2 linked regions of the Elephas maximus indicus genome follow. The main gene of each other region encodes a partner of the protein of the gene in region 2 in a complex. Links are inferred from orthologs where the notes say so. Each region holds a gene or a part of one and is shown on either strand. Other genes may lie near its edges.

Region 1 (3,441 bases), about 130 Mb from region 2:
ACAAAGTTAATGTGAGCTATTCACACTAGAAGCGAGGTACCTGAACCCCTTTAAAGATCCATTTTCTTCAGACTCCGGGTGCGAAACCCATCAGCACCCATTACTCGGTTTGGCTTCTCATCCAAGCGGGAGATGAATTATTTAGAGACCTCCTCGCCTGGCAGCGTTCTACCCTCAAGTGAACTCAGGGTGCTGGCACCAAGCTTGCCTCTTCCCCCAGGGCGCCCACCTGGCCTGGTACTCCCTCTCTCCCTCCCTAGCCATCACTCGGGTCTGAGTGCGTATCCGCTGCGTCCTTCCTCCTCGGCCCCCTCCGCCGCGGCCACCTGGGCTCCGCCGGCCTCGCCTCCCCAGTGCCGGCCCAGGTGGAGCGTGGAGGACGAGGAGGCCGGGCATTCACTGGGTCGCGGGCAGAACTCGCCTGGCCCGCGGGCCGAGGGGTGGGCCCGGGATGGGCCGAGAAGCGCCCCGCGACGGGGACGCCGCCACGCGGACAGGGCCTGGGGCCACCGAGGTGCAAAACGCGGCGCTTCCGTAAGGCAGAGGGGCGGCGAGGGCCCGCGCGCAGGGCAGCTCCCGGCGGTACCCGGGGATCGGGGCGCGCGCCCGCGCGGTGGGCGGGAATCCGGAGGGGACGCGGAGGGGCGGGCGCGCGCCCGCGGGGAAGGGGCGGAGGGGAGCGAGGAGGAGGGCTGCGGAGGCGTCTCTCCCGAGGAGTCCGGCCAGCGCGCCAGACGCAGACTGAGCCTCGCGGCGGCCGCGGCGACAGCAGCGGCAGCAACAGGCGGCGGGCTGGGCTCGGGGGCGGAGGCGGCCGAGGGGCGGGGAGCGCGAGGAGGGGCGCCGCGGGCCCGCCGCCGCCGCTTCCCCGCCGCATGGACGAGCACCTCAGCCTCCTGCGCTCGCCGCCGCCGCCCTCCGCCCGCCACTGCGCCCACCCTCCCCAGCAGCCGGCGAGCGGCGGCGGCGCCCACACCCTGCGGAACCCCGGCCACGCCGAGCCCGCCGCCGGCGCCGAGCTGCCGCCGGACATGACCGTGGTGCCCGGGGACCACCTGCTGGAGCCGGAGGCGGCCGACGGCGGCGGGGGCCCGCCCCAGGGCGGCGGCGGTGGCGGTGGCGGCGGCGGGGGCTGCGACCGCTACGAGCCGCTGGCGCCCGCGCTGCCGGCCTCCGGCGAGCAGGACTGCTGCGGGGAGCGCGTGGTGATCAACATCTCCGGGCTGCGCTTCGAGACGCAGCTCAAGACCCTGTGCCAGTTCCCGGAGACGCTGCTGGGCGACCCCAAGCGGCGCATGCGGTACTTCGACCCGCTCCGCAACGAGTACTTCTTCGACCGCAACCGGCCCAGCTTCGACGCCATCCTCTACTACTACCAGTCCGGGGGCCGCATCCGCCGCCCGGTCAACGTGCCCATCGACATCTTCTCCGAGGAGATCCGCTTCTACCAGCTGGGCGAGGAGGCCATGGAGAAGTTCCGCGAGGACGAGGGCTTCCTGCGGGAGGAGGAGCGGCCCCTGCCCCGCCGCGACTTCCAGCGCCAGGTGTGGCTGCTCTTCGAGTACCCGGAGAGCTCCGGGCCGGCCCGGGGCATCGCCATCGTGTCCGTGCTCGTCATCCTCATCTCCATTGTCATCTTCTGCTTGGAGACGCTGCCCGAGTTCCGCGACGAGGACTACCTCGCCTCGCCGTCCCAGGACCTGTTCCAGGCGGCCAGCAACGGTACGTCGGGTGCCCCCGCGGGAGCCTCCAGCTTCTCGGATCCCTTCTTCGTGGTGGAGACCCTGTGCATCATCTGGTTCTCCTTTGAGCTGCTGGTGCGCTTCTTCGCTTGCCCCAGCAAAGCCACCTTCTCTCGAAATATCATGAACCTGATAGACATCGTGGCCATCATCCCTTATTTCATCACTCTGGGCACCGAGCTGGCTGAGCGACAGGGCAATGGACAGCAGGCCATGTCCCTGGCCATCCTGAGGGTCATCCGCCTGGTGAGGGTCTTCCGCATCTTCAAGCTCTCCCGCCACTCCAAGGGGCTGCAGATCCTGGGGCAGACGCTGAAGGCTTCCATGAGGGAGTTGGGACTGCTCATCTTCTTCCTCTTTATCGGGGTCATCCTTTTTTCCAGTGCGGTCTACTTTGCCGAGGCAGACGACCCCACTTCGGGTTTTAGCAGTATCCCAGACGCCTTCTGGTGGGCAGTGGTAACCATGACAACAGTAGGTTATGGTGACATGCACCCAGTGACCATAGGGGGCAAGATTGTGGGATCGCTGTGTGCCATCGCTGGTGTCTTGACCATTGCTTTGCCAGTTCCTGTCATTGTTTCCAACTTCAATTACTTCTACCACCGCGAGACAGAAGGGGAAGAGCAAGCTCAGTACATGCACGTGGGGAGTTGCCAGCACCTCTCCTCTTCAGCCGAGGAGCTGCGAAAAGCAAGGAGTAACTCAACTCTGAGTAAGTCGGAGTATATGGTGATCGAAGAGGGGGGTATGAACCATAGCGCCTTCCCCCAGACCCCTTTCAAGACCGGCAATTCCACTGCCACCTGCACCACGAACAATAACCCAAACTCCTGTGTCAGCATCAAGAAAATATTCACCGATGTTTAATAGATGATATAAGTGACATACTGTGCTCAGTACTGTGTGGAATGTGCCCCCCTTGGTCTGTGTATACCCTTGTTTTATACGTTTCCGGACCATTCATCAAGGCAAGAACACTGGGACATGGAAGGCGCACTTCATTCTCCCTCGCCCTAATGCTTCATACTGAGACAGGGTCTGTTTTGCGAGTGGCCTGCATTCTCTCAGCTCCCCTCTTTTTTTTTTTTTTTTCTTTCTCTCCCTGTCTCTTAAAATTGCAAACAACAAACTGTTACCTTAAACTTGATTTCTAGTACACGCCCTATTAAAAAAAAAAAAAAAGTACATCCTGGGGGGAAATGAAACTAAAGAGCAGTTAGATAACAGTTTGACCTCAAAATATAAAGGTGGTTTTTCTTTACTGAGTACAGCAGACAGGTGCTCAAATGATGCTTCAGTTGGGTGGACCCTCCGACATTATTGAATATTTAACTCACTGCCTACCCTGTGGATATGTGGATGGAAAGTCTAATTAGAACAATGACTTGTAAACCCACCATAAGTTTATTTGGTTTTTGACTGGAATTTCTATTTGAACCTTCCTCCTACTGGAATTTTAAGGGTCGCTGCAACTTTGAACAAAGGGAAATGCCCAAGATGTCCTGACCTGACTAATTAGTTTAACTCTTCCTGGCTTGTTAAGCATTTTGAAAGTATTAGGTTAAAAGTTAATCCCCACGAAGAAGTTCCTTGCTTGTGTCCCAGCCAAGACCTAACAAAGCCTAGAAACAGATGTTTTTCAGTACTGCTGAGAGAAACAAAAATTTTCCTAAGGCATCTGTGAGATAAGCTTCTG
Region 2 (3,746 bases):
TTCCTGCCTTGGGAGACAATAAGCTCAAGTGTCCTTGTGAGCCGCCTGGAGGGCTGTCCTGCTGTGGGGCAGCTGAAGAGGCTCTGTAGTGGTGCTTGAGGGTGAGGGTGAGGGTGGAGAGCAAGGTCACCTTGGAGACACCCCAGGTGCACCCCCAACCCCCGCTTCCTCTGTGTGCTCTGGGGTCAGGTCTGACCCACTCTGCTTGGCAGGGGCAGGTGGTAGCGATGAGCTCTGTGAGCCTGGGGCTCTATAGAACAGGTGCTGACCACTGACTGCTCTGTCCACGTGTGCACTTCCATGTGGAGGGACGCCCCTGGAGCCTCATCATCCCCTTCATGGCCTAAAGACATTTCCATGCAAGGATCTGTCTGTAGGTCTCTCTTACTCCCTGGGTCATGCTGCTTGAGAGCTTGGGCTGTCCTATGTCTGCCGCCCAATCCCCTGGCTCACAGCAGTATGGAAGAGGGGCTCAGAAAGGATCCTAGGGAAACCAATGAGCAAGGGCATGCCCCTGGAGCCCCTTCAGGGTTCCATGAAGGCCCTGGACTACCCACCCTGGTTCAGCGCTGGACAGCGCCTGTCCCCACAGGTCAGTGTCTCTTTGGGGTAGGCTGCGCCAACACCTCGATCTGCCTGGACACCTTGGACACTGGGTACCCGGGACCATCACACATTTGCCCCCAGGCTCTCTACCCCACCCTGACATGCCACATCTCTTCCCTGCTGCAGCTTTCCACGGCCCCTCTTGTCATCTAACATTCTGGAGACATCTCTGACTCACTTGTTACATGGATTCCCCTGAAGGTCAGGCCCTCAGAGCAGGGACTCTTGTCCGAGAGCGAGCACAGAGCAGGGGCTTAGCTATGCGTCCAATAATCAGTGAAGGCGTGGGCATACAAAGGCCAACCAGGGGCTGTGATGGGCGCTTCCTTGGCAGGGCTGGATGGCACCGTGGGCTCTGGGCTGGCTCTCTGACGCACCTGGTGGTCTCTGAGCGTATCCCCTCCTGGGGAGGGGGGACTCCCAGCCCAGGATTTGCCCTTACCATGGCCCAGCCCCATGGGGCTCTGCAGGCCCCAGGACCTCTGGGCTCCCTCTGGGTTTGGGCTGAGGTCTTTGAAGGGCACTAAAAAAAAGTAGGCGAGGGTGCTCCTGCATGAAACCCGACCTTCCAGGCAGTAGAGGGGTACACGTTTGCTTTGGAAAGTGAAGCCATAGCACCCATAGGTGGCAGTACCAGCTCCTCTTCCCCATCCTCTGGCCGGCTAGGCCTCCCCACCCCCAAATCACAGGCCCTTCTGAGGGTGGCGGTAGGCCACCTGTCAGCCAGTGTGGGGCAGATGGAGGTAGACCTCCTTTCACAGACAGACCGCAGCCAGCTGCAGCTGTGGCTCTTACCGAAAAGCAGGACTTGCTCAGCACATATTTTCCATCCAGGCCCGGCCAGCTGGATCAATAGCCATTAGCTTTCAAGATGTTTCTCATAGAAAGCAGACAGGTCTGGTTGGCTCTGGACACACATCAGGGCCCCAGGGCTGGGTGGTGGCCTAGCGCCAGGTTCTGGGCAGGGACAGCCTGTTGCCTACTCACAATGTGACCCCAGCAGGCACCCTGGCCGACCTAGCCTCAGTCTGCCCATCTGTGAAGTGGGGATGAGCATAGGCTTACGGCATGAGGTGGCTGTGCGGCTGCAGGAGATGGGCTGCTGGGCAGTTAGGTGGGGGCTCGGGACATGGCTGGACACACCCTCATGGGAGGGCACTGGCAGTGAGACGGGGACACGACACCAGCTATGGTAAGTGTTGCAGAGAAAAAGGTATAGACAGGGCAGGTAGGGCTCTCTGTGGAGGTGACACTGGAGTGTGGGCTCGGATGATAGCAGTGAGCCGTGCAGGTAACAAACGTCACCAGAAAACGCTTCATAGGATGAGAAGGAGGTATTAGTAACTGCCCCCCTCGCAGACAACACTGTCCTAACGAGGTGGATCGTGGGCAAGTTTTGGGGATCTGGGTGGGGACAGAGCGGGAAGATCATGGCCTTGGCCACCTTCCTGGCCTCCTTGGCCAGGGCTAGAGGGGCACCTCTCTGTGGGGCCGTGGTCTGCCTGCTTCTGATCTTCCCTTATAACACAACTTGTGGACTGGGGAACGCATCTGTGGGCCAGGCCACCTGTGGCGTGGGTGAGGCAACTGGCAGTCTCCTGCCACAGGCACACACCTAGTCCAGGAGGACGTGTGAGGAGCAAGGAGCTGGCGGAGCCCTGGTGCCCAAAGGCGGGTCTGTAGGTCAGGAAGGCCAGGCCACGCTCATCCTCATGAGGTGCTTGGGGGAGGCCTGAATCTAGACAGAGGAGGAAGGGCGGGTGGGCGCAGAGGGCAGAAGGGGGACTCTTGATGGTCCCTAGCACGGCTGGGACCATCCCCTGGGTGAAAGTGGAACCCAGCTTCCCTGGATGCAGCTGCTCACCCTCTAAGGGTTTGTTCTCAGTTTCCCCTGCAGCTGATTCCAAAGGAGTCTGGATCATGAATGAAGGGCCCATGAGTAAAATCCTGCCAGGTAGAAGGGGGCCGCCCATCACTGGGGTGCCTACTTGGGCACTTTCACCTCCCTGGAGCTCAAAGGTGCAGAATCCTCATCTTTTCCAGAGCAGGGCTCTCCATCCACTCCCCTTTCCCCTCCCCGTCTCAAGACAAAGCAGACCCCGCCCCAGCAGCCTTTGCTGATGATACGGCCACTATGCGTCCTCTCCTCTGCCTGGCTTTGCCTTTTGCAAATCTATTCTTGTAGACTGGGGGGCTCGGGGGAGTTTCCATCAATTAATGGCACGACATGGAAAACTGAAAGGAAGATGTTAACATCATTAAGTCAGCGGGAAGAGCTCCTTCCCCTGAGTCTCGTACCTGGCATTTCTTAATCGTGGTCTGTTTACTGAAGGCCACCAAAGCATAAAACGTTGAGACCAAGGAGGGATTTGGAATACCTCTTTTCAAACCATGACATTTGTTAGCTATTAGAGAAATTAGTCAAGGTTTATCAAAGCGGAAATGGAGAGGGGAGCTGATCATTCTGGAACACGCGTGGCTCTGAGATTCACGGCATCACAGCAGTGCAAACACAAAATTACTTACGTTCAAGAACAATCAGCAAACCGAGGCCTAAACAGGCAGCCCCTGTCTCTCCCAGACATGTGCCTCCAGACAACTTCAGACAGCAATCAAACCCTGACAGCTCTCAGGAATATTTGAAAACGCTGAATTCTCGTCAGCAGTGAACCCCACAGGGTATATACAAGCTAGCCACCCATGGCTCTCATGGAAGAACACAAGCAGGAAAGCACCCGGCAGGGCTGGGAGGCAAGCAGCTCAAGCACAGGGCACTGACTACGGGTCATGCCAAGCGGAACCCACCATCCCGGTCTCCTCCCGCGCACATTCCCTCATGATTACCTACAGTCGGCTTGTTGAGGCTTTCTGCTCTGAGAAATGTAGCGGGTTTAATACCAGATCAGCTAAAAGCATCCCCCAAAAACATAGCCTCTGCTATTTTAGCTCCCAACACAGCTGCACCCAGGGGCAGCCCCTCTGAGCAGATGTCTGGGACGTCTGCTCCTGGAGCAAAAGGGGCCACTCACCTGCTGTCCTGGGCGTCTGCTCATTAAAAGGGACACAGCCTAGGTTATCAGGGTTCACCAGGCACTCTAAAACCCTCGCGCGGTGGTGTTTGCATTCGGGGAGTGTCGCTG

What was found. The genes of interacting proteins can lie anywhere in the genome.
Region 1: the proteins of KCNAB2 (region 2) and KCNA3 are in contact, whole or in part, in a cryo-EM structure (PDB 7EJ2), measured with the Homo sapiens proteins. The link is inferred for Elephas maximus indicus from reciprocal best matches to the Homo sapiens genes KCNAB2 and KCNA3. Residues at the interface, in NP_001186789.1 of Homo sapiens: Met196, Tyr199, Ser200, Arg203, Glu231, His234, Lys235, Ile236; in NP_002223.3 of Homo sapiens: Pro133, Met137, Phe140, Pro142, Leu143, Asn145, Tyr147.

The regions. Positions count from the first base shown.
Region 1 is NC_064821.1:170,520,554-170,523,994, forward strand, and holds KCNA3 (potassium voltage-gated channel subfamily A member 3), read left to right. Parts: upstream 1-752; 5' UTR 753-875; coding exon 876-2,612; 3' UTR 2,613-2,837; downstream 2,838-3,441.
Region 2 is NC_064821.1:45,216,645-45,220,390, reverse strand, and holds the start of KCNAB2 (voltage-gated potassium channel subunit beta-2), read right to left. Parts: upstream 2,668-3,746; 5' UTR 1-2,667.